2 linked regions of the Lonchura striata genome follow. The protein of the gene in region 2 interacts with the protein of the main gene of each other region in a biochemical or structural test. Links are inferred from orthologs where the notes say so. Each region holds a gene or a part of one and is shown on either strand. Other genes may lie near its edges. The genes, in order: TAX1BP3 and ARHGEF16.

Region 1 (16,239 bases), on a different chromosome or scaffold from region 2:
TGGAGATTTGTTACAGATTATGCACCATAAATACTCAAGAACACTGCTGCCTCTTGCTCAGGGACAGCAGTGTTTTAAATTATTGATATGAATATTGCTCTTCAGCTCTTGGAAGCCTCCAGCTGGCTGCTGTAGCACTTGCTTAATTTTAAAGTTCTCCTTGTGGTACCAGCCTGACTGGTAAAACAGGTTTGGAGTGTAGCATTGCATGATCCTGAGCAAACTGTATCTTTGTGTCTGGGGATGTGTGACCTGGCCAAAATGTATCTGTGTTTGTATTTCAGAGAGCAGGTCAGAAAGTATCCAAAGTTGTTGTTGGACTCCTGGCACTTGCATGGATCTTCACCTTCACAACGCTGTTCCTGGCTGCAGCTGAGGTGATGACATGGCTGCAGTTCTTGTTCTGCTTCTCCTACATTAAGTTAGCAGTCACACTCATAAAATACTTCCCACAGGTAAATCTGAATTATTCTGCTTGCATTCCATATCCCTGCCACCCTAAAGCTGCAGTGCATGCTCTTGAAAGTCTGAAGAGACTAAACCACCAATGATTATTTATTAACAGTGACAAACCAGTAGAATTGTACTGAAAGCTGCTTGAAATTCAATCCCAAATGCCTGTGCATGACACTCTGACTGACTTCTGTCACACTCCCAGGCCTACATGAATTTCCGTAGGAAGAGCACTGAGGGATGGAGTATTGGAAATGTGTTACTGGACTTCACTGGGGGAAGCTTCAGCCTTCTCCAAATGTTTCTGCAGTCATACAACAATGGTAAGCCTGGAACTGAGGTGCTTAATGGGATGGAAAGTCCCACTGCAAAGCAGATATAAAGCAGATATAAAGCAGAAGGTTATCTCAGAAGAATGATGTTTGTGCTCTGTGTGGGGAGCTGTTCTTATAGAAAGGATAAAGGATCTGTTCATATTCCCTCAAGATATAAAATGAAGTAGTCATCCTGAAGAAACCACAGGAACAGTTATTAATTAACTTTGCATAAGGTGTGCACTGCAGTTAGTTTTAGGTGTGTCTGAGCAGTCCAGGTAATAGACATGAACTTCTCTAAAGGGTCTGAAGACAAGACTACACTTGAGGAGTCAGACTTAACTCTAATTTTGTGTTTGACAGATGAGTGGAGGTTAATCTTTGGAGATCCAACCAAGTTTGGCCTGGGTGTCTTCTCCATTGTCTTTGATATTGTTTTCATGGCCCAGCACTACTGCCTGTACAGGAGACGAGGGTATGAACCTTGTGAATAACAAACATCACTTGTGGAGATTAAAACTTTAAACTGAACTTGGCCCTACCCTGTCTGAGGGCTTTCAAGATTCTTGCTGCCAGTTACCAGAAATACTGATTCTGATCTCTGTCACTTGATCCTCTCTGGGCTGGAACACAAAATGTTGCCTTGCCAAGCACTGGCTGCCAGATGCCTTAAGGACAGCAAGCTCTCAGCTGCACATGGGAGACTCGTGCCTGATGGAGCTGCACACACAGCTCAGAAGGAGCTGTCCAAGCAACACATGGCTCTTTTTTCACCAACCACAGGGAAGAGAAAGACCAAAGTGATGTCTTTCTGATTGGAGGTGAAGCACAAAGAGCAGAGTTCTGTCTTCCAAAAATCTGAATCATGTTTAAGCAACCACTTAATATCTTTAAGTAATGACTGAAGGCTGTCTGTGGATCCAAGTGCTGCTGCTGACCTTTCCCAGACAGCTCACAGTCCATCACCACTCAGGCTGGCCACAGCAGTACATCACAATAATGGGGTTGGTACAATTTGAACTCTTTATTAAAAAAAATCCTAAAAAACCAGAAGCTGTATTCTTATTTCACTGAAAGCTCTTTCAAAGGTGCTAAGACAAGTAATTAGAAGGGAATCTGTGCATTTATACTTGAATGCTTAGAACCTTATGTGTCTTTCTAGGTGTCAACCTAAGGAAAACTAGATCTCAGATGAGGTTTGACAGTTCCCCATCAGTGAAACTAGACCTTACTGATCTCAGTAATTCCACAATCTACTCTTAAGCCAAAAAAGGTCACAGCTAGAGGCACCCAAGTCATATGGCACACTCAAATATAAGGAAAAACAACTCAGGAAAACCAATTTTGTTTTATTGTGTGTAAAATCAAGTGAAAAAAGCAGTACAAATAGCAGTGTATCTTTATAGTAACAAAAATAACTCCAACTTGAAAGACTTAAAATTTACTACTGAATTCTTAAATTACAAAATTCCAAAGCAGAATTGTAGTAATTCCAGAGATATAAAATTGGTAAGTAGGCATCTGCTGCAGTGAGGTACTGAATAAATTAGTTGGCCACCTCCTCATGCTCTATTTACAACAGCTTACCTCAAGGCTGCTTAAAGAAACTATAGATATGTATAGATCAACTGAAAAGGATTAAAAACTCCAGGTTTTGGATAATTGTAAAGCTAACTGGCTAACAAACCACAGGATGCTAGATCATGGACTTAGAGTTGCAGCAAGACTCTTCAGTCCTGTGGCATGTTGATTTAAAACACTTAGTATCCTACTAGAAGTTTAAATTTGGTCAAGAGGCACTTCTGCAAATTACTGGCATAGTCATCTCTTCCATCCAATAAATCACTGATTTAAGCAGAAACTTCTAAAACACAAACCAAAATCCCTCCCATTTCAAGTCAGATAGAAGTGGAATGAAGGCCTGAAAACTCTACAGCTATGAGCAGCATTTCTGGTAGGTTCAGGAACATTGCTTTGTTTCCTGCTCAATTAAACTCAATTCAGCTGATGGTACAAACTGGGAGTAAGGAGAATTCAGGTTTTACCCTGCCAGTGAGGTTGAACTGTAGTGTCCATTAAATTGTAGTGTACTTCACAGGCATTGATCTAACACTTGTTTGTTACTCAGCTGTTTCTTGCCTCAAGAGGCTGCTTTGTCCAGGGAATCTTTGCAGGAAACTGTAATGCCCCAAACCTTTCAGCCACTCTCTATCTTGCACACAGTGAAGGATTAGTACAGTGCTCCTCCCCACAGCACTGTGCAGCTCTTAACTCTGGCATATGAATTTGGTAGCAATGTGGGGGACAGGACAGCTCCCTTCTAAAAGCTTAGGCACAGCAAACCCTCTGGTCTCCCATAGCAGAAACCACATTTCCTCCTAAAATAGGAGGCTTTTGTGCTACAGAAGAATCCTGTCCAAGTTAAGGCTTTTCCAGTTGCTCTTAGATAACTTGGGTCTGTCCTGTCCTGAAAGTCATGACTACAGAAGTCTTGCCATGTACCTGCAGGGCAGACTTTAGAGAAGCACTCTGCTGAGGGGAGTATTGTTTTACTACTGCCAGTTACACCAGAAGAAGTTAAAATAAAAAAGTAGTGTTTACCACAGGTAGGAACATGCACTCCTTCCAGACAACCTGTTCCAGTCTAATAGTTGCTTCTTTCTTTGATAGCAGTCTATACATCTCCCTTCCCACCCCCTCCCCAGCTGGATGATGGATTAGGACATCATGGATTGCTGCACAGCCTTCTGCAGGGACTGCCTGGTCACCAGCAGCCGTACCACCTCCTCATTCCTTTTGGTCAGCCTCTTCCTGGCCTGGTCATGGGTCACCATTGTCATATCCCAGCCATTCACCTGGGAAAAAAAAAAACATAAAATAAGGCAAATGCAAGGACTCACAGGTGTCCTGTAACTGTTCTATCAGAACCATGTAGTGGATATGGTTTTATGCCACAGCTCAGTTTATTTATAAACCCTACAAACTGTCCTGGTAAGTACCCAGAAGATTATTTTCCCCAGCAGATGCTTCTCTGCAGGGTGCAGCTGGTACTACATCACTACTGTCTTATCTTGGTGCTTACCTGCATGATCTTATCTCCAATCTGGAGTCCTGCAACTTCTGCCGGGCCTCCCTGTGTCACCCTTGTTACGTAGATACCCTGGGAAAAAATTAGTGCTCATTTACTAAATGTGGAAGGATTCAGTATTCAAGGGCCATTTGATTGACAACACAGAAAAACTCTAGTGTATTATGAGATTTTAGTTAAAAACAGGCTCATGCAATGTTGGAAAATAGAAAAGGTGTAGAAGTCACTTGAATAACTGGATCTACAAGTGATAATGGGGCAAGAGAGTAGCTGTGGTAGAGGGCAGATGATGACTTGGGTCAGCCTTTGGGAGAGGGACTTGCTACAGAAAAAGATTATCTGACCTTGTCAGTCTTATCTTCAGAGAAAGGATTCTGAGTAGGGTCCTGATCAATGCCACCCCCAATGCTGAATCCCAGAATTAAATTGTCACCTTGACGAAGCTTATGTATTTCAATTCTTTGCTGGAAAGAGAAAGAGATCAAATAGCTGAGCATTGTGACAAGTGGAAGAAATCTCAAGTGCATTTCAGACGCTGATAATTCAGATCCAGTTAGACTGTTTTTCACAGAGATCCCACGACACAGCCCAGCCCCTCAATTACTCAGAGCTGTCCTGCCTGCCCAGGAATAGAAGGGAACAACACTAAAACCAGAGCAGGTCTCTTTAAACATGACTCATGCCTTGATAACCAGCAGTTACTCATGACCAGCCTCATCTTGCTCATTATCCACATGCCTTATGTTCCTGCTAGTCCTATCAGCAGAAATAACAACCTATTATTAGGATGGCTCTTTTTCAGGATAACTTTTGTAACCCGGGGCAGGTTCCTCACTGCCTGATGCACAGAGGCATCTGACCAGCTTTGTGCATTATGTCAGCATTGTAGAAATGCCAGCTGGTGCAATTAATTCCTGAGCCAGGGTGAAAAGCCACGGTCTTAACTGACACAGCAACCTCTCGAAAAGTGCTACGACCCTATCTAATGGAAGATGTTCCTGCTCATTGCAGGGGATTGGATGAGATTACCTTCATGGGTGCCTTCCAACCCAAACCACTCTGTGATTCTCCTCTCATGGCCCTGTCACACAGACCCTGAACTTCCCCACTGAATTCCAAACTCCCTGGATTCCAAACATCGGAGCCATCCACGCAAGCACAACCCCAGTTACCGCTGCAGGCAGAGGAAAGCACAAATCCCTCACTCGCACTTCGTGCTGATTAAAGCCATTATCTCCCTTTAAAAGCTCTGCTTCCTAACCCCACCCAGACACGCAGGTGCTTATCCTGCTCTGCCCTCGCAGAGGGGGATCCGCACCGAGATTGGGCTCGGCTGCCGCGGGGTCCCGGTACCGGGAGAACGCGTGTCTCTCGCTCCCTCTTCTCTAAAGCAACGCCCGAGCATCCCCGGCCGGGGGTCGGTCCCTCCGCCCGGCGGAGTTTCCGCTCTGTTCTCCCAGCCGCTATCCCGGACGGAGAATCTGACAGCCCACGCAGCGGGGAGCGGCTGCGGGGCGGCAACCGGGGCCGGCGGCGCTGCGGACAGAGCGGCCGCGGAGCGGGGCTGCCCGGGGACCTCCACCCTCCGACTGCCGGGCACCGGCACCGTCACCCGTGTGCCGTGCCTAACCCCGCAGCCTTCGCCCGCTCCTTCCCCGCACCCGCGAACCGGAGCTGCCCCGGGGCGGCACCTCCGCCCGTGACAGCGCGCAGGGCGCTGCCGGGCACCACCCGCATCCACCTCTCCATCCCCGCCAGCAGCCGCCACCTCGGCACGGTATCCCCGGGATAATGGTGACCGGCTGGGCCGGTAGGAACGCCGTGCCCGCCCCTCCCGTGCCCACTCACCACCACGGCGGTGACCGGCTGCCCCGGTACGAACGCCATGTCCGCCCCGCCACCGCCGCCGCCCGAACAAAAGCGCCTCGCCCGGCCCCGCCTCCCGCTCCCCGCCAGCCAATCCGACCCCGCCCTTCGCTCCCCGCCAGCCAATCCGACCCCGCCCTTCGCTCCCCGCCAGCCAATCCGACCCCGCCCTTCGCTCCCCGCCAGCCAATCCGACCCCGCCCTTCGCTCCCCGCCAGCCAATCCGACCCCGCCCTTCGCTCCCCGCCAGCCAATCCGCAGCCGCCCCGCCCACGGCGCGCCGCCCGCGCGGCCGCGTCCCGTCGGCCCCCAAGGCAAGATGGCGGCCGGGCGGTGGCGGCGGCGCGGTCGGGGCGGGCCGGGCCCGGCGGGCGGCCCGCGGTGACGGGCGCTGAGCGGGGTCCCTCGGCGCGGTGCGAGGCCTGACGGAGCGGCGGGGCTGGGCGCCGCCGTGGATGAGAGGTACGGAGGAAGGGGAGGGGCGGCGGGAGGGCCCGCGGGGCTCTCCCGGCGGCCTGAGGGCGGGCGGGCTCGTACAGCGCGTTTGCTTCACCTCAGTGTCGGTGCGAGCGAGGAGCTGCCCGAGCCCGGCGCGGAGCCATGGCCGCCGTGGTGGCCAAGCGCGAGGGGCCGCAGTTCATCAGCGAGGCGGCGGTGCGGGGCAACGCGGCCATCCTGGACTATTGCCGCACCTCGGTGTCCGCCCTGTCGGGCGCCACGGCCGGCATCCTCGGCCTCACCGGCCTGCACGGCTTCATCTTCTACTTCCTGGCCTCCGTCCTCCTCTCCGTGCTGCTGGTGCTGAAAGCCGGGCGGCGGTGGAACAAGTACTTCAAGTCGCGGAGGCCGCTGTTCACGGGGGGGCTGGTGGGAGGGCTCTTCACCTACGTCCTGTTCTGGACTTTCCTGTACGGAATGGTTCACGTGTACTGAGCAGCTCCGCGGCGGACGGAGCGGCGGGACTGTTGCCAAAAGTCACTACACCATAGGCCGGCTCACTTTCCACACTGTTGTCCGTGGCTCGTGTCGTTAATGCTGTTGGTAAATTATGTCCAAGTACAAATTAATCAGTAGCACTGTTCTATTAAAACTGAATGTGAAGCACCGCTTGGATGCCTCCTTGTTTCCTTGTTAGGGGGTAATTTCTGTCCCTAAGAGCAGGCACAGCTGTGGGGTTTGATTGATATATTCCCTGGATACACACACCAGTTACAATCCCCTCTGGATGTGCTGCCTGTCCCTACACACAAACATTACAGCAGTAACACGGCAACCTGAAATAATTAAATTACTTAAAAATAATTTTGCTGACAAAAGGAAATAACTAAGTGGATGTAAAGGTTTGGCACAGAAACATACATGCAAATGCTCTCTTCCCTGACTGCCATCAGTAAATGGCACTGTCACTGGTCTCTAGAACAGCCACAATAGGGGATAATTCCATCACGCACCATCCAGGTAATGCCTTTCCTATAGCCCTGTTCTGTGAAAATAAGTGATTCATCAATGTGCTCACATCACTATCACCAGGAGAAGGTGGTGTGACCTGAAAAAACACTTACAGAACACTCCCAGGGAGCACTGGCCTGAAGTGACACATTTTATTGCTGAACAAGAAACACAAGGAGAAAAAAAAAGTCAAAGTCAAGAAACAAGTCCTGAGAAGGACTCTGGTTATGTTTTATTAACAGCAGGGCTTGTAGGAGTTGTGTTACAGAGTCTAAAGAAAGGAAACACTCTAGGGGATCTGGGGGGCCTGGAGACTTAGATTCAGGAAATAGCTTTGGTCATCTCACAGGAGGATGTTTTGGCAAGTTAAAACAATGGTTTCAGCAGAGCACAGTCAGCTCTGCACATCAGGAGGAGCTGCTTGGGTGCCAGGAGTTGTGCCAGGCCCTGATGTCACATGGGGGGGTTCTTCATGTGTTTCACCATCTAGAAATTACACAACTTCTAGATGGTGAAACACAGAGTTTTAATTAACCCTAACAGTCAAAAGCCTGGTGGTAACTCTTGTGCAGTTCCCCACATGGTGACTTGTGTTTGCCTTGAAGAGAGACTTCTGACATGGAGAGAAGGTTTTGGATGAGATCAGAGCACCAAAGGTATACAGCTTAACCTAAATGAACTCCACTGTTTAATTCTATTTTCTAGCCCCATTTTTTGCTCGCTACACAGAAGCAGAGGTGGGGACCTAGACTGGGTGGGGTTTGCTGTCAGTGGCTGGGTTCAGAGTTTGCCACTGCTAACAGGTGAACTTTAATTTAGGATGAACCTGTACCTCAGAGTAACGACTTTAAATAAGTTACAGCAGAGCTGGGTGCAGCTGCTGGTGCCATTTGTGCAGACGCTCGATGGCAGCAGCTCCCTGATGCCACCCTCAGACACTGCAGAAGGAGCCCTGTAACTTTTGGTATTCAAAGCATGCACAAAAACATTTAATCTTTATCAGGACAGCTCACAGTGGTGATGGGGCAGCATGTACAGAACACAATCATATTCCTTAAGCCCTTTTCTGAGATTATTCACCTCCCCACATGAGATAAATGGACAAAATAGGCTGCAAGGAGACTGATGCTGCTGAGAGACAAGCACTTGTATTTCCTGGAGGTCACTGGTGTTGAAGTAGCAGGCAGATATGTTCTAACTTCCCTGCTGTTGGTGTATTTGGAGGAGGTTGGCCCAGCCCATGTCCCTGGCACAGCTGCCCTTCTCAGTGTGCAGCACAGCCCAGGGTGCTGTGAGAAACAGAGGCACTGAGTGTCCATCCAGCTCTGCCACCACAGAATCAGGCAGTGACACAGCAAGGACAGTCCCGAGCAAATGAAACCAGGCACTGAAGGAAGGAGGCAGAAGCTGTGCAGGTGCTTCCAGGGCCCCCCTGCCTCAGGCCCTGCAGGATCACAGCCCCTTCCCAGCCCCAAGAGCTGCTCCAATGCCACATTTCCCTGCACTTCCTGAGCAGAGCAGTCCTGCTGCTTCACAACGGATGTCACATCACCCAGGCAGGAGCTGGAGGCAGTGGCTGCCAGGGCAGCAGAGCAGGAAACAGGTTGGGTTTCAGCTTCAGCCCTTCCCAAAGTGCTCCCATCACAGCTTTTCTCCACGTGGAAGCAAAGCACAGCCACAGGACAATGCTGGCTACTGGCATAAGTACAGATATATCTATCAGTGGATATAAAAACATTCATTTTTGTGCCTTCTTTGTCCTTTTATAAAAATCCTTTTATAAATCCATAGTGACAACACGTTGCAAGCTCAGGCTACCAGAGAAATCTCTGGGAAGAAAGACAGTCTTTAAAGAAGGTTTTGTCCTCTGGGAATCCTGATCATAGTAGGCCTGACCTGGGGTACATCCACCTCCCAGTGCTGGTGTGGTGCCACACCAGTGTGGATTTCCTGGAGCAGGAGTCCAGCTGGCAGAGCCACTGCTGTGCCTAGAGCTCGCCGAGCTGCTCTGGGCTCTGATTCCCGTTCAGCGTAGGGCTCGACAAGGACTTCCTGGAGCTGGACCTGGGCAAACAGGCACAAGGACAGGATGAGCAGCCTGGGTTTGTTTCAGGAGGCAAAAATGTTCCCAGCCAGGCCTGTCTCACCTTACCCCAAAAGCCCCTCCACATCTCAGTTTCACGAGGCCATTGCCAGTCCAACCCTGACACAGCAGCTGCCTTTCCTCCCAGCTCATTGCAGCAAGGAATTACAGAGGAAGCCAATAACTTGGCCAAAATAATTTGGAAGAATATATTTCCCTGGAACTGTGCTCCTGTATGTCCTCCTATTTCTATCAGTCTTAACAAAAAGCCATGATTTTTAACACAAAACCAGGCCCACTTACTTGACTTCCTCATACTTTTTGCCTCGATAAAAGTTACTCTTCTTGATCAAATATAGCAGCACCAGGTCACAAAAGAAAGCTCCCTGCAAAGGGAAAAAAACTTGTGGTTTATCTTTGAAAGGAAGAGGAAGTATTCTGAACTCATTAGAAATGAGCATGAATGAAAGGATAACTTGTAGAAACTGTGTTTGCCTTCATTGTCCATGCATTTTCCAGAGTATGTATATGTAATATACAGATTGTGGGGGTGTTTAGACTACTAGGTTTATTAAGAAAGAACCAGGCACTGAAGGAAGGAGGACATAGACACACACCTGGCTGAGTAGTAAAGATTCTGCTGGAGAAGGTTTAAACCCCCCATCCTATTTGGGGTGTGGGTCCCTTGGGGTTACTTTGAGATAAAACATTCACTTACAGCTCCCATGAGTGCCAGCCCCGAGCTGATATTGATAATGGTGGGAATGATGTTAAATTTCCCTGCCTGGAAGAACAAAGGTCATGAAGTCACCACTGAGAGAACAACCCACAAAACAAACTCAAGGGTGTGGTACTGCACTGGGGAAGCTGCTGCTGCCCCTGGGTGCGTTTTGTTCCCAGGCACAACCACAGGGGATTTGCAGTGGAGGCTGAAGGTCTCTGTGTCTTAGATCTGACTGTCCCTAACTGCATTTCTGAGCTTGCATCATCCCTGGATTAGGCTTTTTCTCTCTGCAGTGCTTGCACATGGAAAACAAGCCTCTGGGGCACATTTATTTCTGTTAAGGCTTTACATGAGCCTGGTTTTAAGTAGAGGAGGTGCAGGCTTAGCTGCACTACAGGTGATCTCTCTCACATGGGGATTAGCTCCACATGGATGGATGGGAAAAGCCCTTTCTACAACAAGCCAGAGAGGCTGTCCTCCTCGCAGAGCTGCCTCCCCCCACTTCCTTTCTCTGCAGGCTCTGGGACATCCTGACCTGGCTCTCACCTTGCCATTCACCATCACATCGAAGCGGATTCCGTACGCTTTAATGAGCGTCCGGTAGTCGACCCCCTCAGCATCCCGGTAATACTTGGCAAACCTGGAATACAACAGTGCTGCCTTTAATTCCACCTGCCCCTCTGAAGCCTCTCATCCCTTCAAAGAGATCTGTTCCCTCATCAAAGCCAACTTTAGCCTGCCAGGAGCACTCCCTACCTCCCTCCCTCCTCTGCAGCGCTCTGAGCTCGGCTGCAGCAGTGCCTGGCACAGGCTGGTGCCACTCACTGCCAAACTCAGCACCTGCCAGTCCAAGCAGCCCAGCCCAGCTGTGGTACTGCATTGTGCCCTCCTCTGTACCCACCTGAAGTTGTACCCAGAAGAGATGGAGGTTTCTGCAGACTTGTTATCCAGCCGGCTAAAAGAATAGTGAGGATTACATTCAGAAGGGGCTTTATCAAGATCACAGTTCCATTCAATCTGAATTCCTATCACACCACCCTTAAAAGAGAGAGACAGGGTGAGTTGTTTAAGCTTAGTTCAGTTAAAGTGTCTTCAAATTTGTCAGACCCTTGGGCAGGCTTTCCCCAGGGGCAAGAAACAGCTGCACTTCTGGTCAAACAAGGGGCACACACTCCTGCCTGGGCTGAGTTCAGGTGTGTGACATTAATCCTGTTACTACTCTACAACCCCACTTCTCTCTGTGCTGGTATCCAGAAGTTTCTCATCCCAGGACATTAATTTCATTCCATTCTACACTTCAGTGGGGAAGACTTTTATGCCGGGGTGGATTTACAGAGTTCTGGCTTTAAACCAATCGTGTGGTAATGTTGAAATTAAATGAAGAATCCCTGCTGGCAGAGCAGCAGTTTGGGCAGCCTTGAATAGAAATAACTGACCCAACCAGCTTTTTGAGAGGACCCCCATTCCCTGGGGTCAGGATAAATGGAACCAGCCTGACTTTAAGCATTGGTACCTCTGCAGTGCAGCCTGGGCAGGAGGCAGCTCCCTGGGCAGTGACTCCTCAGAGCCTCCCAGTGAGCAGTGAGCCAGCTGGGATCACCCACGAGCCCTGGGGACCCTCCTACCTCCGAGGCCATTTCCTGGAAGTTGCCCCCAGCCCAGCGGACGATGTTCCCCAGCACGAAGATGGGGCAGTAGGGATGCTCCTGGCTGTACCGACAGGTCTTCAGGTAGGACTCGTTGTCAGTTGCCAGCACATTCATCCTGCATGTAGGAAACAGGGAAATCCACCTTGGCTCCCTCTTTCCTTGTCTTCAGAGCCTGCAGCAGGACTGCAGAGACAAGAGGCTTCTCCAACACCCTCTGTGCACGGCAGCCTTGTCACCCTGTGAGTGTCTCTGCTGCTGGCCTGGGGAAAGCAGTCTCTCCCCCAGAAATGACCTCCTGGCCAGAAAATGATTTGGCCAGCTGAATCTGGGCTCAAGAAAGGGCTCACACAGAACAGATTGCCAAACTGCTCCAGGGCCATCTGCTTGTCTCAAGGGAAAACAAAAGAACTCTAGAAAAGCCTATCTGAGCCCAGGACAAGAACCAGAACGTGCACATTTCTGCGCTGCTTTAGTTTGTTCACATTGCAGCAGCAAAGGCAAACATATTTGTTAAATTTTCATTTTTTGTCAGCCTTGTCCAGGCACTTTATTTTTCTGGAGGAGAGGGAATATCTATTGAGCAGGAGCAGCTCAGGAACCTGTGGCACTTACTTGGAGAACTTAAACTTGGGGAAGCGAATGGAGTTCTTGATGTAAACAGTGAAGTTTTCTGCACTGCCCAGCAGTGGTTTCCTGGAAGAGAAGGGTTTGTTCTCTGTCTTTGTCCCCGGCCCACGTGTGAAATTTTGAATTGCCATTTCAGAAGCAGCTTCATCCAATAGGTTGGATGGCACCAGGCCAGCTGTGCCACTTCCCCCACAGTGCCAGCAAGGGGTTGGTGAGGAGCGTGCAGGTCCAGAGACACCCCGAGAGCTGGGAGCAGCCAGGGAGGGAAGCAGGGGGAGCAGAGGGCCAGTCCTGCCAGGAGAGCCTTGCAGAGCCCCCTCCTGCACTGATCAGCCAACATTCCAGCAAGCACCCAAGCAGAGGGACACAGGAACTGCCCTGGGTGACACACAAGCCAAGCAACTCAAGCTTGGAAATAAGACACGTACTTGGGCTTGGATCTTTTCTCCACTGGGCACCAGGCCAGTATCTCACAAGTCCCTCTGGTGCTGCCCTTGTCTTTCAAACAACGGCCAGTCTTAACCCCTGTGAGCAGACATCACAGAAAAGGTCACACCGAGCAGTCACCTCCTCTCCTTGCCCACAGGGCATGTGAAAACAGAGGATTTTCCCTCTCCTCCCTGCTGAAAGGGCCTCTCAGCTGGAACAAACGCCCTCTTGTTGTGTCTCTGAGCAGCCCAGGGTTCCCTGGCCCAGCTACCACAGAGCTGTAAGCAAGGCAGGGATCTTAAGAAAAGAGATGAAAGGAAAGAAAGGCCTTGGTGCTCTCTGTAATCAGAGATTTGGGGGTGTACCCGGGCTGAGGGCTCTGAAGACCACCAGACACAACACAGACAGGGACATGTCTTACCATTGCCAGCCACCACTGCTTCCCCTTCCAGGCAGTCCGTGTCCTTGTCACACAGGGCATCAGGAATGTTGGCACTCTGCAGAGGGGAAAAGGACACAAGTGACAAAAAGGACACCAGAGCCAGAGAAATTTCTGCTGACATGGGGCAGATTCTGTGTGAGCACTAAAACCACACAGCTGAAGTGGTAAATGGGGGTCATGCAAACATATCCCACCACCAGAAGCACCAGCATTCAGCCACACCCTCCCAGGTTTGGGTTCTGCTCAGTCTGGAGAGGGGCAGACTTAAAAAAACCAACATTAGTACTCAGCAAAACCAGGCAGGAGCCCATTTTGCTTTAAGATAACCCTACCTTGGATCTAAGCCACAAAGTTCTCGTGCCCAAATGTGCCCCTGTCCCGGCTGCTCGGCCACCAGAGGAGAGCAGTGCCCTGAGCAAGCCAGCTGTGCCCCCGGTGTGACATGGAAAATCCTTCTGCTCCATGGACAAAGCTCTCCCTGCACAGCACAGCTTCCTCCCCGAGCCCCAGCCCACTCCAGACATCTCCACAGAGGATATTCCACATGCCACAAGCACCTCATGCTTTCAGGGCATGTTCTGGAAGGTGCTGGGCAACCACCCTGTGTCTGGGAGGTAACGAGAGCCTGCATGTTCAGCATTTCCAGGATGGGGCTCTTAAAAAGTCTCCTCTCCCCATAACTACCCCAAGTCACATCAAATTTGTTTTCCCGGGGCCTTTTCTAACCCTGAGCAATCACTGCCTGGTCCCATTTCCAGCTGGGCAGAAATTCAACACCACTTAAAGTCAGGAAGGCTCTGCATGATCAGTGCTTCTGGAAATTAAGACAGCTGAGCCTCCCACGTTTACAGTAATTTCCCAAGTGAACTTTTACACTACAGGAAAAAATACTTGTCTTTCATCCTTCCTTTCTTTGTTGCTCCAGAAGTGTCCTCTGTCAGTTCTTATCCCCGGTTTTGCAGGGGTCTGGGGGTCAAGGGGCTCAGTTCTTCCTACCTCAGGACACACGGCTTGTCTCTGGTTTGGGGTCACAATCAGATTTGTCATGACAAAGAAGACGCTTTCACCCTGCAATAAACAAAGAGTTAGAAAACTTGGTTTACTTTTAAAGCAGGAAGCTTTGTTCAGAAGAGAACAACCCCCTCTCCCCACAGCTTTTCAGGCTGAGATAAAACATCACCTTTTGTGTGGATATTTGTTTGGATGAATTCCCTCACACTGTGGGTGCACTCACAACCATGAGAGCCAGCCCACGGTCCTGGGGGGAGGCAGAGCACCCCCGGCATCTCAAATAAAAAACTCACAGCAGAAAACCCCTTCCAGCACCACATTCCTGTATCCCAGCTCCTGCTAATTCACAGGGAAGACCTGGATAGATACACTTCAGCACCCACAGGGGGTGATGCCAACCTGGGGAGGGATGACATAGTCTGCAACATCCCAAATCCTCTCCCCCAGCTCCGAGGTGTTGGTGAAGGCCACCCCTTTCAGCTTGGTGATGACAGAGCTCTGCAGGGACGTGTCTGTGTCCTGGTAGCCTTTCTTGACCACAAACACCCACCTGTGTGAACACAGCAGCGTTAGGGGAGGTCAGGGAACGAGTCAGGCAGAGAAATTCACACTGAGGTCAAATCAAACCATGCCAATGACACCAAAGCCTCTGCAACTGCTAATAAAGGCTAAACCCTTGGACACAAGCTGTGCTTGCCAACAGTGGAGGAATGTGTAATAACAGGTCATGAGGTATGAAACCAAAGCCTCCATCTGTGCTACACTCAGCAACCTCAGAAAGGGAAAGGAAGAGCAGGGCTGTGTCTTTCTCAAGAGGAAAAACAAGAGAGGTTTTTGCAGGTTGCAGGGCAGAGCGTGGCTGGTTTCACAAGTGCAGAGCTCTCACTTTAGCACAGTCAGCACCAGGCTGGGAGATGGAGCCCCTGCAGCTGAGCTGGGGATCCTGGCAGAAAGCTGCAGGGAACATCCCCAGCTGGATCCAGCTCCTTTGTAAGCCAGGGTGATGGGAACAGCCTGGCTGCACCCTGGGAGAGCTGCTGCCTTGCTAAGCAATCCAGGGAAAGGCTTTGCTTCCTTCTCTCCACTGCAAGCAGCAGGAGTTCCATTTCCCTGGGTGAAAACCTCTGGCTCAAACGAAATGCTTCCAGCTCCCTCACAATACTGCTGATATCACCTGTCAGGACAAGAAGTCACCCATGAAGAAGCTGAGGGTGCTGGGGCAGGTTGGGAGAGGAAGAGGCTGAATCTGTGGCACAGCTCCCCTTTTCAGGGCTCTCCTGCCCACAGGGGCTGAGCAGCACTGGTGGCACACAGCCTTCACCTGCCACGTGTGACAAACCTGCATATGAACACTCCCCACTGTTATAAATACATATTATAATAGATGTATTGGCTTTTCACAAATAATAAAATGGATGCTATATGTATAATGTCAAAGATACACTTTTTATTTCTGTTAGAGTAGTGAAATAGCTGATATAAGTATGCTTGTGTTAAAATGCCTGCTTGCTTGGGATAACATTCAGTGAACACATGAACTGTCAACACTTACCATGAGTACAAAGTATGGACCAAGGCCCAAAACTGTAGGTGATGATAAGAATGGATTAAAACCACAACCAAAAAACACACATGCTCCAAAAAGGCAAACCCGAGCATGAGCCATGCTAGACAATTCTTGGAACATGCAGACTAGTTTTGGGGAAAAGTTTTAATATGCATAATTTTTTATTAACATGCAACAGGCTGATGCAATCGAAATGGTATATCAAGGTTGTTTCTGAAATAGCCAGGGTGCTCTTGGTGGAATGCCAGGCACCCAGCGTTTGAACCGTTTGCTTTATTGCCATTTTCCTCCTAATGTCCATTATTAAACTTTGAAATTTTTACAGGAGAGTGACCCTTGTTTTTCACATCCACCCTGGGAACTTTCCTACTTTCCCCTGAAACAGAGGTTTTTGGAATTCACTTAAGTTAACAAAATGAATTAAACAGTTATATTTTAGTTTGTAGAGTTATGTGTTGAATTTTAACCATTTACTTAAGCAAACTCTGCCATAAATACAAAAGGCCATATGACAATGCAAATTTCTGAAGCTCATTG
Region 2 (16,009 bases):
ATTTGGAGCAGATGCCGAATTTTGGGAAGGGGCTGGATCTCCGCAAAGCAGCCGAGGAAGCATTTGAAGTTAAAGATGTGTTTAATTCCACCTTAGACTCTGAGGCAATAAAACAGACTCTGTACAGGCAGGCTAAAAACCAGGTGGGTATATCCAGAACGTTTTCTTAGCTTGCCACCAGTGTGTACAGCAGGAATAGGCAGCAGCTGGCCTCCTCCAGCCAAGGGTTATTTTCCCTTTCTAGTGGGTTATTTTCCCCTTCCAGAAGGTTATTCTGGCTTTCCAGCAGGAATTCTAGCACACACATGAATGTATCTTGTTGCAACTAAATTAAAATAGAAGAGGAAGGGAGTGGGCATCACCTTTAGATGGATTTCTCTCAGCCTGTGCAGTGAGAGAGAGGCATTTGTGTGTTTTTATCTGTTTGTATACATGTTTTTATAACTCCTTATTTTTTTACACTTTGGGGTGTCTCTTCTGTCGGTAACCACTGAGGTTTGGTCTGCAGAAACAGCAACAAAGGGCCCTTGGGTTTGATCAAAAGAGGTGTGAAAGACAATGATACATCCAGGACTTGCAAGCCAGCATGTCTAGAGGGTATCCTTGTTTATCTCCTTGATTTCTAAAAGTGAACCAGAAAATGGAAAAGAAAAATCCCAACCCTGTGAGCCAGACCAGTTTCGACCCACCAAAAACCATCAGAATGGCATCTCAGAAATACTGGAGCTCTGAGAGAAATCTGGAGGTTTGGGGCAGGTCTGTGTGTGCTTTCTGCTTTTTCATTTGCCAAAATACCCAGTCTGGGTTAATGGAGTTGATCTCTTGATCCCTCCACGAGGATCCTCACAGAAAAACTGTTCAGTGAACTTACCTCAGCAGGCTGGGCTGGAGAGAGGAAACTCAGCCCATGCTGGGGGATGAGTTCAGCTCTCACCTCAGGGGTCCTTTCTGACCCTAAAGCAACAGAATTTATCCCAAAATCTATTTCAAATGTCCAGCAGAGCAGTAGCTTAGTGCAACCACCACGCAGAACATGATTTTTAAATTAGAATCATCCAAAACTTGGGAAATTTTTTTCCTCCTTCATAGTGGGTGCCAGTAGTGAGGCTGGTGAGGGGCTGCTGGAAGAGAGAGCACAGCAGATTTTTGGGGTGACACCCATTTAAACACAAGCCACTTGCCTGACTCTTCCCTGTGTCCTGTCACTAACATCCCAAATGCACTAACTCTTTGGGAACAGCTTGCTCTTTTCCGATGCACCACCCTGGTACAGCCTGTGCTTGGATGGGGGAAGGTATTTTTGGTTTTTGACCCTGTTTTTCACTTGAATCACAATAAGCAAGTTAAATAATTTGACCCATCTTTTGGCAGGTAATATAAAGCCTTTGTGTGAGTCCTTTGGCTTAGTTTTAAGAAATTTTAGAAGTGTGTGTGTCCACAAAACCACAAAACTCTATCTCTTCCCTGGGCCAGGGGGGTGGGGAGGGTGGGGACCATGTTCTCCTCTTTTTCAGGTGACAATGACATTGGTTTTCCCCTCTGCTGTGTGAGGTTCTCATCTGCCTAAGCCCTCAGATCACTTGTGTGGGCTGAGAAAAGGCACAGGGAGATGTGTGGGTCAAATCCTGTGTCCTGGTGGGGGACAGCAGCCCAGGTTACAAGGAACCAGCAGTTTGTTAGAGGACAAACAAGTCTGGCTGCATTTCTCTCAGCAGACACCTTTAAGGGTCTCACTGCAGCACTAAACCCACCCTGACCACACTGGTGATGCCCGTGAGAGTTCCACAACCCCAAATATCCACACTGGCATCGCCAGTGAGGCCATGCCAGGCATTGAGTCAGGATGAGCAGCTGCTCACCACTTCCCACTGGGCACTGCTGCCCCATTCCCAGGGCACTGCTGCCCCAGCCCAGCCTCGCTGATGCCTGGGGATGTGATTTTTTTAATAACAATTTCCAGTAAGAGCTGCTTTCCCCTGGGAGCAGAGCCTGAAATCATGTAGAGGTTTGTGAGTGAGCACAGGCAGTGCAGGATGGGTTTGATCCTGTGCAAACCAGTGGGAATGATGGTGTCTCCTGACTGTCCCTATAAAGCATGACAAATCTGGTTTTTTCAGAGGTGGGTGCCATCCCAGAGCGTGGATGTGAGTTTAGCCCAGCACACAGGACGCTGCTGGCCCAGGTGGGCAGGGTTGGGTGGTGCTGTGTTTTACACACAGAGCTCCTCCATCCCGTGTTCTCACTCGTGCCCTTGCCTCCCTCTCTCCCCCAGGCTTATGCAATGATGCTGTCCCTGTCTGAGAACGCTCCCCTCCACACGTCCTCCCAGAACTCTCTGGGGGCTTGGCTGGACATGGCAGGAGCAGCTTCAGAGTCGGGGACCTTTAACCCCATCAACCACCTCTGAGAGGTCCACAAGGCACTGGCCGGAGCCCAGGCAGGGGTGGTGGTGCTGCAGCCATCCCAGCAAAATCCCAGCGAGCAGAAGATGGATGAGAGAGCCTCAGGGAGTCGTCTGGACTTTGGGCTGAGAAGGAAACCTGTCACATCCGACCTACACGTCCTGCATTTTTTATCTCTCTAGAGTTCTCCTTTCTAATTTATCAGAATGAACCTCTCCCAAACTGGATAACCCTGAAGCAGCCCCAGGATTTCACAGCCTGTAGGAATAGCATGAGCAAGACACGAATTGCAACAGTGCAATCAAAGATTGGCCCCTCCAACCTTCCAAACCGGTGTCACTGAGCCAGCACAGCCTGAGCAGGAATGACAGCTTGGAACCACAGGGCAGCATTTCCTTCCCATCCAGCTGAAATGGTGAAGCACCGAGGGAAGACAGCCAGGTGTGGCCTGTCCCCAGTGCAATTGTGACACAGCCACTGGAGTTATGCCAGGGAAAGGCAAATTCAACCCACTTAACTCACCGCCCCCAAAAGAATTCTGCACTCCCACCGAAACACCACCCTGTCCTTTGTTCCCAGGAAACACTGGCGCAGTGCAGAGCTCCTCCAAGGTGAGGCCACCTTGCCTGCAGTCATGGTGAGCCACGTGCAGCTCCCAGCTGAGACCTCTCCGGCCTGGAACGTGCTGAGGTGGGGGTGACAGATGTGGCACACGGACACGGGTGGTCGGCGGTGCCCTGAGCAAGGCTGGCAGGGCTCCCTGCCCCTCCTGGTTCCAGCGAGGCTGGGAGTGCCTGGGACAGAGCCAGGCTGGTGGAGCTCCTGGAAATTCTTGGATTTGCCCAACAGAGAGGTGGTGGGGTAAAGCCTTCTCCAGCTGGAAGGAACCGTGTGCTGGGCGAGCCTCACCTGCCCCGGGCAGCTGGGACACGTCTGCTCGTGTGTCAGGGTTCAGGGTGACATCACCCGTGCTGGTGATGCTGTCTCTGGCACAGATCTCTGATTCACACCGTTGTTTTGGCCTGGTTTTCCCTCTGCACTACCTGCTGCTGCCCAGCCTGTGATTTAAGTACAAAGGTGAACATTTCCATGCTCCAGCTGCCTGAAGGGTGCAGAGCACGGAGATCAGAATCCAGCTGTCTCTCTGACTCTAAGATTTCTCATTGAGATTTTATGAGTGATTTCCAAGCACTTCCAAACCTCACCTTGTCTACTGATATACAGCAGCCTCCACAAATCGTGTGGGCTTTGTGCTGTTCTCCTCTGTGGAGCGGGGAATTTGGAGATGACATTCCTTTTTGGAATGGTTAGGAAAGCCATGGAGAAGGGCAGATGGAGGGTTCCTAGCCAGTCTAGTGTGGGAAGCCTCGTCCCAGCAGGCCAAAACAACAGAACAAGTTCCCTGAGCAAAGCAGAGTCAGAGTTGTGGGTGACACCTTTGCAAGTCAGCTTTGCACCCAAGAGCACATGTGAGGCTGAATTTGGGGAGCCCCAGAGTGCCCCCACAGGAAAGCATCCAGGGTGGCTTTGGTACAGAGGGAACAAAAGGTAAATTAGCAGGACAAGTGCATTTCCCAAGGAAATTTACTCTTCCCTTTTTGGTTTTCCACGACATCCTGTGAAAGTGCCCAAGGCTCTGAGAGCACCAGGCGGTGTGACCGAGCTGCTTCACGTATTTGCACAAAGCTCCTGGGTAGGCAGAGCCCGAGAGCTGACCCTGCCGGAGGAATCCCGGCTCTGTGGAGGAGAGGGACAGCCCCATCCCATCCCATCCCATCCCATCCCATCCCATCCCATCCCATCCCATCCCATCCCATCCCATCCCATCCCATCCCCACTCCACAGGCTGCAGCACAGCCCTGCCCAGGCACTTGGCCTTTAAATTATTCCCACAGGGGCCAACTGAAAATAATAAAAGGATTGTTTCTTTTCCTGATGGAATTTATTTTAATCTGTATATAACTTGTCATTTTGGCCTAATTCCTTTCTTATTTTATTTCTTCCTTAACAGTATTTTTTTTTTTTTTTACATTAGCTATCATTCTTGTGAAGAAATCATGTTAATATAAGTATCTAGTGAAGGACCAAAATCGTGCTGATGAGGTTGGATGTTGGATAAGCAGGGAGCAGGGAGATTTTGTCCATGTGCCAAATGAGCCCAGTCAGTGCTGCCAGTGGTGCTGCTGACCTCCAGACAATCATCCCTCGGCTCCCCTTTGCCTTGAAGCTCCTGGGGCATTAGAGGAAGGTTCCAGTGATTGGGAGCAGCACAGGAGGAAGAGGAGGAGGAGGCCAGTGGAGATGCTGTGCCTCTGCTCCAGGAGAACATGGGAACAGCCTTAAACATGGGCATGGATCCATCCTGTCCCATTCCAGCTGCAGCTCCGTGACTCCTGGCGGCTGCTCAGAGCAAGCCACGTGTCTGAGCATCTCTCTGCTGTGCTGGAACAGGATCTGTGGGCAGCAGTGAGTGTTTGTGTGCTCTGACCGTGCTTTGCTCACCCTTGAAGAAACCTCAGGGCAGGTCAGCACCGCCCTCCACAGCACGGGGAGGTGACAGAGCAGCTGAGGGAGTGGCACTGAGCTGGACACCAAAATGTGGGCCAATATTAAGGAATGCAAGTGTTATTGTGGGCATTTATTTGGGGTATTTATGGTTTCCCTGTCCCTCTCTCAGCCCTGCTGTCAGTTGTATCATTTCTCCAGAAGCACTTGGTCAGGTCTTTGCTCTGACTGAGCTTACACTGTTGCTGTCCCCCTCCCCAGGCTCATTCTGGCTCTCCATGGATATCCTGAGGGTCCCTGGCCGAGGATAGAGAGGTATTATCCAGCCAGGGATTGTGGACATTAAAAATATAGGGTTTAAAATCACCTTTTTTTTTTTCTTTTCATATTTCCTAATTCAGTTGCTCCCCATTTTCTCTAGCTTGTGTTGTAGGATCCCCAACTCCTCTAATTAAGCACTGATTACAAGTTTCAATTTTTCCCATTAAGATAAAGAAACAGGAAGCCTCACTGAACTTCTGTTAACCTCTACCTTTCGTCAGATTGCACTTGGAACGTGCTGCAGCTCACAGCAGGTGTGGAGGTCCCATTTTGCTGCTTTAGCAGAGAATCTCACCTTTTCCAGGCTGCTTCCCGAGAGGTTTGTGCCCAGGACGCTCTGCTAGCAGAGCACTGCTGGCTTCCCAGGGCTGGGGAGGCTCTGGGAGCTTTGGTGAGACATGGAGCTGTGGTGTCCAACCCCACGGACACGCTGGGATCCAGGGCAGGTGAGGGTGGCAGGGATGGGAAGTGGCTGCGGTGTGGCCGGTAGCCAGGGCACCGCTCCAGGTGTGGTTTAAACCCAGAGCTTTGTGTAGGATCTATTTATTTAAAGTATTTTCACAGCTGCAACAGCACAGAGGAGAGAAGGAGAAGCCCTGGGGATTTTTGGATTGGTCAGGCGGGGCTGGGAGCTGCGCAGGGCTGAAGCGTTGGTGCTCCATGGAGGGCCCTTGCTTTGGCCAGGGCTGGACCTTCCTGCCTGAGCTGGTCAGGGAGGAGGATGTGTGTCCCGTGTCTGTGCATTCCCTGCTTCCCACCAGCTCCGAGCTGGAGGCTGGTCCTGGTGTGATTGCTGTGGCTGGTGCAGACAGCTGGGAGCTCTCCAGTGGGATGAGCTGAGCTTCTCCCAGGGGATGTGCTGCGGTGCCAGGTCCTGCAGGACACGTCGAGGCACCCGGTTCTCCTGTGGGCCGCTGGGTTCCTCCCTGGGATGTGCCCTTTGGCGCTCGGGCTGCTCTGGGCACCTTCCCAAGGTGTCCCAGGCCAGCAGGCCGTGCCTCGCCGGGCGCCAGGGGCCCTCGATGCGCGGGAGCCAAACCCAGACGGGGCTGAACGAACCCCAGCGGGTGAGCCCAGCCGATTCCGGGACTAACACCCTGCTGGGCTCCTGTCCTCCCTGGGACAGTGCAGAGGAAGCTTTTGCCCCCTCCCCAGCCAGCACTTAGGCACTCAGAGGCTGCTCTTGGCAGCAGCTCCTGGCAGAGCCTTCGGGACGCGCTCGCACAATGAGGCGAACGCGTTGGGCGCCGAGCGTCGAAGCACTGGATCGTGAGCCCCCCGCGCCCCCCGATCTGCCAGCTCAATCTGCTGATCCCCACTCGGTTTTTACGTGCTGTACTGTGTGTGTGTGTGTGTGGCGGGGCGCGGGGGGCAGCGCTGGGGACCCTGCCCCTTTTTGGGGGGACCCTGAGCCGTGGGGACAGCGCTGTCGCCAAGGGCAGGAGCGGCGTGGCTCGGGTCAGTGCTGGCAGCACAAAGGGCAAAACCCTTCTGCTCCTCGCCGGTGGTCAGTAGTGTTCTCACAAAGCCATGAAACTTCTCCGTAGTGTTGAGTGGAACTGTGACTAAAAGGTTCTCGAATGATTCCGAGGTTCTTTTTTTCCTCTTTCTTCTGTTGTTAATTCTTATTACCACTTTGGAAGAAGAAATTTAAAACAAACAAACAAACAAAAAAAATTTAAAAAAATTTACAAAAAAAAAAAAAAAAAAAGAACGAAAAAGAAAAAAAAGGCAGCTTTGATTTTCCAAATGTGCAATTCACATGTGAACAAAGTAATTCTGAAAGTAATTCTCAGTGTATTTTACATTCTCATTGCTCTCTTCAAAGCAAGAGATGTTTTGCCCTGATGTCATTTCCAGCCTGCAGAAGATGTAATTTAAAACATATATATATTGTGCTTGCAAGAATCATAAATCTGTGCATCCTATGTCATTCCTTTTCCCATTGTTACAATACAGATATGATTTAGGTTGGATTTTTTTTTTCCTTTAGACCTGTATAGTGTTTTTTTAAATCAATTGTAAATGTCTGGTTTTCATATAATGTTTAAAAAACATTGAGAAAGAGGATGGTGCTTGTTCCATATCATTCTTGATTGTATATTGCTTCTGTTATGTTTATAAGTAAACTGTGCATGACTTGTGTTTAGCAGTCATTATTGTGTCCGTTTGTGAAATTTTTATTAAAAAGAAAAAATTCCGTAGATGCACTTATTGTATATGTGATTAGATTTTGCGTCCGAGGCTCGAAGCCTTGAACTGCCAAGGAAGAAAGAAAAAGTGTTGGCAGTTATTAATTAATATGGAATCGCTTTGTTGGGAGCATAATGAAATAAAAGATATGAAGTGTAGAAAATAATTAAAAAAAAAAAGGCAATTTTACAAATTTCATTTTGATGCTTGTGATAAAAGACAAATGTACTTGTGTAGAGAAATTCCTTTAAAATAATGAATAGAAAAAGCTGATTTTGAGGTTAATGCTGTAGAATAGGAATGTATACCAAATGTAATCTTTCCAATGCTACAATGAATTTATACATGAGATTGATATGCAATAAACCTGTGTGCTTTTATAAGCAGTGGTCCCATGAGCTTCTTTTCATGGAATAACCATGGAGAACGTCCCCAATAATGGGACACTGTGTGTGTCACTGTCTGGCTTTGCTGCTCTGTGGTACCTCTGGAGTCTGATGTTGTGTGTGTGTGGTTTTTAATACTCGAAAGAGCTTAAAAAAATTAATTATGGCCACCCCACTTGCTGCTGAGGTCAGAATCATGGAATCACAGCATGATTAAGGTTGGAAAAGCTCTCCAAGGCCATCCAGTCCAGCCTGTGCCCAATCCCCACCTTGTCCCCAGCCCAGAGCCCTGGGTGCCAGGTCCAGGCCTTCCTTGGACACCTCCAGGGATGGGCACTCCAAACCTCCCTGGGCATCCCCAGCCAAGGCCTGGCCACCTTTTCCATTAAAATATTCTTCCTCATATCCAACCTGAACCTCCCCTGGCACAACTTGAGGCTGTTTGATCCTGTCCCTTGTTGTCCTCCTGTCAGGGAGCTGTGCAGAGCCAGAGGTCCCCCCTGAACCTCCTTTTCTCCAGGCTGAGCCCCCCCAGCTCCTTCAGCCTCTCTTCACAGGACTTCCCCAGCTCTGTGCCCTTCTCTGGAAGTGTTTTAGCCCCTCAACCATTCTCTTTTGTGAGGTGCTCAGAGCTGGACAGAGCCTCCCTAGTGTAAAGCAGGTACATCACATCCCACTGAAGGGACGGGATGAGAGGGAATACTCTCAGAGGGAGGACTGAGAGTATTCCAGGTGTGGGAGAAAATGTTGGGATGGGGCATCGGTGAGCTGATGGAAAATGTCAAGCATATTTCCTTTCACTACCAGAGCGCAGAGCGAGTGAACTGCCCAGTGATAGCGGCCAGATGGTTCAGCTCCAGGGGACTCTGTGAGCAGAAATTACTTGAAAGCCGGGTCTTTGAGCTAAAAACCCCATTACACAACTGATGAATGGCCTCGCTTCAAAAAGTCATTCATGGTGATCAAATGATGGTGTCCCACATTCGGGATAATGGCCCTTCCCCGGAGATCGGGAGGGTTTCATTCGGAGCTGAACCCTTGAGTAGGAGCCCTCCTCTCGCTGGAGCCTTTCTCCTTATTAGCCCCGGAGGGAAAGGATAAAAAATCTATGGGATAAGAAAGCTGTGATAATGGGGCGATTGTCAGGCAGGCCCCGGAGTGGAGAGAACAGAGGCATTTCAAAGAATATTGCTGACAAGTGGACTTTGTCATGCACAGAGAGCTTGAGATTCACCACAAACAAGTGAGAAAAAGGCCCCATTTGGAGGATGGGGAGGAGCAGAACAGGGGGGCAAAAGAGAAGGTCAAGGAAAAGTCTGCTCCCAATAAAGACACAGAGCACTGTTGAGCCTTACTGGGCAGCTGGGTTACTGGGCGGCAGTCAGCAGCCTGACCCTCAAATCCTCTTTCCCAGCAGAGAAAGATCCTCTTTCCCAGCGCCCAAAAGCAGCCGAAATAGATGTTTTGTACAACCGGAGGGATCGCCCGAGGTCACCTTTGACCACTGAAGACCCAACTAAAGCGAGCATCAGACATGCCTGCAGTAAGGGACAGTCCCTGGGCTGCTGAAATACCGAGTGTGTGTCGGCCAGACCCCGAGGACAGCCGGGGCACACTGCTTTGTCACCCGCTGAGGTGACAGGAGAGCGACACTGGTTTGTCACCCGCTGAGGTGACAGCGAGCTTGCAGAGGCGGCTTTAGGGGATGGAGGATGCCCAGATCCAGCAGCGCCGCTCCGCGCACACCCCTGATGAACGCTCATCAAGAAGCAGCAAAACACTGTTCCTAGCGAAGTTTAATTAATTTTTCACCCCTAGGAAGCCGGAGCGACCGCGGGACGGGGCGCGGCAGGCAGCAGAGCGCTGCTCGGCGCCGGGATGCGCGGACACCGGGCACAGCCCGGCACGGCCCCGGGGGCCGCACCGGCACCTCCCCCGGTCCCGCCCCGGTCCCTCCCATCCCTTGCCGGTCCCTCCCATCCCTCCCCGCCGCGCTGGCTCCGAGGGGCGCGGGTAGGTGCGGGCGTGGCGGGGCCGGGGCGGGGGCGCTGCGGAAGGACCGGGGACCCCGGGGAGGGACCGGCACCGGCACCGGGGCTGCCGGGCAGCCGTGCGGGCGGCGGCCCCGGGCCGGCGGCCACCGAGCGCCTTCCGGGGAGGGGACGGCGGCGAGCGCTGTGCCGTCCCTCCGAGCGCAGCCGGGGCTCGTCCTCCCGCGGCTCTGTCGCCGCCGTCCCCGAGGTGCCGGGGGGTGGTTGGGTCCGTCGCAGAGGGGGTTTTTTTGGGTGCTTCCCGGGGCTGTATCCCGCCGTGCTCCCAGCCCTTTCAGAGCCTCGCCCCCTGCACCGCAGCCCGGGGCGCGTAGGGGTGGCGGTACCGGGTTGCGGTGCCCGTGCGCCCCCGCGGGCGGTGACGCGGGGGATCGGTGCCCTGTGTGGCCACCGAGCCTCCCTCCAGCCCGGCACCGTGCACGCTGCAGCCCCAGACCCTCTGCGGTCAGGCCTGTTCATTGCCACCAGGACTCAGCCAGGATGGGGTTAAGAGCGGAACGTGGCGCTTTGCTCGTCCGAGGGACACTTGGCAGAGCTCCGGACGCAGAGCGTGTGTCCCGCATCCCAGGACATTGGAATGAGCAGCCTCTGTCAAACGAGCTGTTGTTGATGGGTCTGTGCTGTCCTCCTGCCAGTCATTCATGGGAGGGAAAAGCACGGTCCAGCCTTGGTTTGTTTCCTGGTCTTTGAAAGGAAACAGCTTGGAGATGGCACTGGTGCACAATGGGGTCTCAGTTGAGGACAGCTTAACCATCATTTCTCCCGAAGTTATGTAATAGGCAGAGGGCATAAAACTCTCTGTCCGTTCTGTAGGTGCATGGTTCTGTGCGTGGCACAGGAGGGGGTGAGTGACCTTAACCCCAGCTGGCAGCCCCAGGGACTGGGGCAGGTGTTTTTGTGGGCAGCAGGTGTGGGGCAAGTGGGAGCTTGGAGGGTTGACGGCCAGGGATCCACAGCCCGGGGGAGGTGGCAGTCAGGAGCGCACAGAGGTGGCTGGCAGCACCCCAAAGGGGAATGAGGGGACACGGAGGTGTGGCAGCAGCGGGGCTGGGAGAGGATCCAGGCCTGCCCAGCTCAGGTCTGAGCCTGCCCAGGCTGCTCTGGAGCCTGGCTGCTCTCATGCCTCCCTGCTCCCATTCCTGACCACACAGGTGGCCCCACAAGGAGCAGGGTGGTGACAGCATCCCCAGTGTGTCCATACAGGCCCTGCCTGCAGCGACCCTGCACTCCTGACACAGGAGTGTCCTGCGCTGTCCCAAGGTTCCTGTGGCTCTGTAAATTCCTGCTGCCTTACTGGGAGGTGTTTAGCCACCCATCTGTCTGTCAGTCTGTCTGTCTGTCCTCCTCAGCTTGCTGCTCCCGCAGGCCACCACCATGTCTCGGGGCTCCTCTGGTACCTCTGTGGATGACAAGACCTTGCTCCTGGAGTACCGATGCCACCCAGCACGGCCAGAGCCCCCCAGCCCGACGTGTGGCCCTGGGAAGCGCAGCCCCACCACGGCTCCCAGTGCCAGCCCGCTGTCACCGCTGGCCTCCCCCACCTCGGCCGAGCCCCGCCGCATCGTGCTCAGCACGGACAGCCCTGCCGCGCTGAAGGTGGGAACGCAGCAGCTCATCCCCAGGAGCTTGGCCGTCTCCTCCAAGCCCAAGAACAGCCCCTCCCGGCACCAGAGCTGCGGGGCCAGCCGGGAGCCCCTGAGCCCCGACCCGGAGCGGGCGGCCGTGCCCGTGCTGGCGCTGGAGGCGGAGGATGAGGATGATGGCGGAGGGTTCCTCAAGCGCAACCTGAGGAACATGTCCTACCGCGCGGCCATGAAGGGGCTGGGGGCCGAGCCGGAGCCAGCCAAGGCCGCTCCCTCGCTGAAACCCCTGCCCGAGGATGGCAGCGCCCCGCCCGATCGCAGCCCCGGCAGGAGCAAGGTGGGTTTAGCACCCGCTGTCCCCCCTGTGGGTCAGGGATGAACTCCTGCTTCCCTGGTGCTGACAAAGTGTGAGAACCCCGGGCTTGGTCTGGGGTCTCGTGGGGTGGTAAAGTCTCTCCTCCAACCCATGCTTCCAAAGAAAAACTCTGCAGCCTCTTGTTGTCCAGTCTCAAGGCAGTTTATTGTGAGTTATGTAAAAGATTTTCTTCTCGGGCTGCTGTGGTTTGCTCACAGCTCAGGCAGAGGCGCACACACACACATCCTGACATCCTCTCTGTCTGCTGTCTTCTTCTTCTCCCTCCCCCCACAGGGCTGCTGCTGTCTTTTATATGTTATATTACGTATTACATGTTTATAGTTTCCCGCAATACCTACTACCTATATTACAAAGTGCTTTTCTACTCTAAACCAATCTGTGAGTGCCAGCATCACCAAGAACATGGAGGCAAGGAAGAAGAAGGAGGAAGAACAGGATCAGCCCACTTTCCTCCATCTTAGAACTTCTGACCCCCATGTACAAAGTAAAACCCCCCCCGTACAGGTGCTAAAACCCCCCTGTACAATACTAAAAAATTTCCCCTCTGTTTTGTAACTACTTTTACTATAGTATCTATCCCTTTGTGACTGTTCCACCTCCAAAGTTGGTAACTCATCCCATGGCTCAAACTCAAAATCACAGCTGTTTGCAGCTGCCTGCTGGGGTCTAAAATGCTCCTGACCAAGGCCTGGAACCTCTAAAAATGTCTGAGGGACATTTTGGGTTCCAACAACAGAGGAGCTGCAGGGCCACAGCTCCAGTCAGTTCTGGAGCTGCTTTGCTGAGCCTGGTGTCAAGACTGGAGCCTTGGGAAGCTCCATGTCACCAGCAGATGCTGCAGGTTCCTGGGGAGGCTGGGAATAGTTTTCCTGGGGAGTGGAGCTGGACTCTTGGCAGGCACTTGCGAGGTGTTTGCAGGGTGGGGCTGGCCGGGAGAGCGGCTCCAGTCGTACACAAACATGGGTGAAGCACGTCTGGGGAAAGGGAAACTCCAGAGCAGGCAAAGTCCAGGTGCGAGAGAGATTTGACAGCAGCAGTGCAAGTACAGAATGGTTCTGAGCGTGACCCTGGCTGTATGGGAGGTGAAAGCTGAGTCACCTGGGTAAGGCAAACAGAGCCCACACAAAAGCCAGGCTGAAAGAACAGGGTGGTGTGGGCCAGCTGGCACAGGTAACTCCCCCTCTTCCTGAGGGAGCTTTCCCAGGGCCTCAGCAGTGTGGCAACCACAGCAGGCTCTCCTCTTGCCCTTGCAGAGAACCCTCGGGCGGAAGCGAGTGCAGAAGCGTGGTGGCTCCTTCAAGGACCGTGAGTGCCTCTGGCCCCTGAGCCTTCCCCACTGAGCTGCTCCCTGGCCGTGGCTTTTGTCTGTTCCCCCAAAGCAACAGGAGCATTGCTGCCCTGCTCTCCCACTCCTGGGACCATGGATTTGTCTCTGTTCCCCCAAACAGGAGCATTGCTGCCCTGCTCTCCCACTCCTGAGGCCATGGATTTGTCTCTGTTCCCCCAAAGCAATGGAGCATTGCTGCCCTGCTTTCCCACTCCTGGCACCATGGATTTGTCTCTGTTCCCCCAAACAGGAGCATTGCTGCCCTGCTCTCCCACTCCTGGGGCCATGGATTTGTCTGGGTTCCCCCAAAGCAATGGAGCATTGCTGCCCTGCTTTCCCACTCCTGGCACCATGGATTTGTCTCTGTTCCCCCAAACAGGAGCATTGCTGCCCTGCTCTCCCATTCCTGGGGCTGATAAGGCTCCGTTGCTGCCATGCCCACAGATGGATTCTCCCAGGGAGAATGGGAGAGCTGTGGGAGGCTGCTGGGAGCAGGAGCCTCCGTGTGATCAGTGCAGTGCAAAGTCCAAACCTCATCAGGGAGTTTCTGGCCCCGGGCTGGCTGGAGCTTGTTGGCCGGTGGCCAGCAGGGCAAGGCAGCCGTGGTGGGAAGGGAAGCCATGAGCTGGGAGAGGCTGCTGGGCTGACCTCGTGCCTTGTCCTCCGCAGAGCCCCGGCTGTATCAGGAGATCCGTGAGAGAGGGCTGAACTCGGTCAGCCACGAGTCAGACGAGGACTTGCTGGAGGAGCCGTCCCCTCTGGGCGCTGCCATCGTGGTGCAGAGCTACCGCCCGGCTCAGGTCACCTGGAGCCAGCTCCCGGAGGTAGGAACAGCAGCCTGGAGGGTCTGGGAGCTGTGAGGGGATAATTCCAGCCATTGGTGCTTGCTGTGACACGCAGGGTCTGCCTCATCCTTCCCATTTCTGCCCAGGTGGTGCTGCTGTGCTTGGGCTTCACCCACAGCACAGGGGAAGGCAGGTGCTCCTTGCTGGGCTTCCCCTGCAGGATGTGGGGACAGCAATTCTTCATCCGGGGAGTGGCAGCAGCTGCTGGGGGCTGGGGGAGCTGGGGATAATGCAGGGGGTGATGCAGGAGTGAGTGGTGGTGGTGTGTGATGGTTTCTGATGGTTTCTGATGGGTTCCTTTGATGTGTGGTGGTGTGTTGCAGTGTGTGATGGTTTATGATGGTTTCTGATGGCTTGTGATGGTTTGAGATGATTTCTGTTGGTTTGTAGTGGTTTGTGATGGGTTCCTTTGGTGTTTGCTGGTGTGCTACAATGTGTGATGGGTTGGGATGGTCTGTGGTGGTGTGTTACAGTGTGTGATGGTGTGTGATGGTGTGTGATGGTGTGTACTGGTTTCTGATGGGTTGTGATGGTTTGTGGTGGTGTGTTACAGTGTGTGATGGGTTGGGATGGTCTGTGGTGGTGTGTTACAGTGTGTGATGGTTTCTGATGGATTGTGACAGGTTGTGGTGGTTTGTGGTGGTGTGTCACAGTGTATGATGGTTTCTGATGGTTTGTGGAGATGTGTCACAGTGTGATGTTTTGTGATGGTTTCTGATGGTTTCTGATGGTTTGTGGAGGTGTGTCACAGTGTGATGTTTTGTGATGGTTTCTGATGGTTTCTGATGGTGTGTCACAGTGTGTGCTGGTTTCTGATGGTTTGTGCTGGTATGTCACAGTGTGTGCTGGTTTCTGAAGGTGTGTGCTGGTGTGTCACAGTGTGTAATGTTTTGTGATGGTTTATGATGGTTTCTGATGGTGTGTCACAGTGTGTGCTGGTTTCTGGAGGTTTCTGATGGTGTGTCACAGTGTGTGCTGGTCTCTGATGGTGTGTGATGGTGTGTCACAGTGTGTAATGTTTTCTGATGGTTTCTGATGGTGTGTGATGGTGTGTTGCAGTGTGTTATTGTGTGTCACAGTGTGTGCTGGTTTCTGATGGTGTGTCACAGTGTGTGATTGTTTCTGATGGTTTCTGATGGTGTGTCACAGTGCGTGCTGGTCTCTGATGGTGTGCCACAGTGTGTACTGGTTTCTGATGGTGTGTCACAGTGTGTGATTGTTTCTGATGGTTTCTGATGGTGTGTCACAGTGTGTGCTGGTCTCTGATGGTGTGCCACAGTGTGTGCTGGTTTCTGATGGTGTGTCACAGTGTGTGATTGTTTCTGATGGTTTCTGATGGTGTGTCACAGTGCGTGCTGGTTTCTGGAGGTTTCTGACGGGTCCCTTGGGTGAGTGCTGCTGGGCTGGGCGTGGGGAGGCTGGCACAGCCCCAGACCGCACTAGAGGGCGTGCAAGGACCGTGGCTCCGCTCGTCCCCAGGTTCTGGATTCGGGCATCCTGCAGAGGATCTCCCCCGAGGAGCGCAAGCGCCAGGAGGTGAGAGGGGCCTGGGACGTGCCTGGGAGCACAGCGGGGGCACCCAAGCCCGTGGGACACGCGTGGCTCTGTCAGGGACAGCTCATGGTGCTGCTGCTCCCAGCTGCTCCAGGACTGGGCAGTGCTGGGAGGGCTCACTGCACTAATTGGTGGGGAAACAGGCAGCTCCACTGGGTGCTGGTGGGAAGGGAAAACATCTTCATGCTGTGGCTTTTTAACGACTGAGTGTCCTAAAACACACTGGGATTATTGGTATTGGCCAGGCCATGCATGAGGTGACACAGAGAACCAGCACAGAGCCAAGTCATTTCCAGTGGCTTTGTGCCAAAGAGTGTAAATAAGATTTAACAGTTAATTCCCAGCTTTGTCCAGTTTATGCTGCTGCATCTTCCCTGCTTTCTCCAGGCAATGTTTGAGATCATCACTTCTGAGTACTCCTACATGCACAGCCTGAGCATCCTGGTGGGCCACTTCATGAGGTCAG

Evidence for each region.
Region 1: the proteins of ARHGEF16 (region 2) and TAX1BP3 form a complex in vitro, tested with the Homo sapiens proteins (2 studies listed by BioGRID and IntAct, with this or other methods). The link is inferred for Lonchura striata from reciprocal best matches to the Homo sapiens genes ARHGEF16 and TAX1BP3.

What each region holds. Positions count from the first base shown.
Region 1 is NC_134622.1:8,392,923-8,409,161, reverse strand, and holds TAX1BP3 (tax1-binding protein 3), read right to left. Parts: upstream 5,790-16,239; 5' UTR 5,743-5,789; coding exon 5,704-5,742; intron 4,320-5,703; coding exon 4,200-4,319; intron 3,928-4,199; coding exon 3,850-3,927; intron 3,623-3,849; coding exon 3,485-3,622; 3' UTR 2,097-3,484; downstream 1-2,096. Other genes in the region: CTNS (cystinosin), read left to right, coding at 285-455, 659-776, 1,131-1,261; EMC6 (ER membrane protein complex subunit 6), read left to right, coding at 6,322-6,654; P2RX5 (P2X purinoceptor 5), read right to left, coding at 9,159-9,234, 9,557-9,639, 9,972-10,037, 10,524-10,617, 10,879-11,015, 11,603-11,741, 12,239-12,319, 12,682-12,778 and 3 more. UniProt on the Homo sapiens protein: May regulate a number of protein-protein interactions by competing for PDZ domain binding sites. Binds CTNNB1 and may thereby act as an inhibitor of the Wnt signaling pathway. Competes with LIN7A for KCNJ4 binding, and thereby promotes KCNJ4 internalization.
Region 2 is NC_134626.1:3,678,649-3,694,657, forward strand, and holds the start of ARHGEF16 (rho guanine nucleotide exchange factor 16), read left to right. Parts: upstream 1-9,802; 5' UTR 9,803-9,820; intron 9,821-11,207; 5' UTR 11,208-11,232; coding exon 11,233-11,778; intron 11,779-13,070; coding exon 13,071-13,122; intron 13,123-13,813; coding exon 13,814-13,968; intron 13,969-15,468; coding exon 15,469-15,525; intron 15,526-15,930; coding exon 15,931-16,009. Other genes in the region: histone-lysine N-methyltransferase PRDM16, read left to right, coding at 1-143, 2,273-2,407. UniProt on the Homo sapiens protein: Guanyl-nucleotide exchange factor of the RHOG GTPase stimulating the exchange of RHOG-associated GDP for GTP. May play a role in chemotactic cell migration by mediating the activation of RAC1 by EPHA2.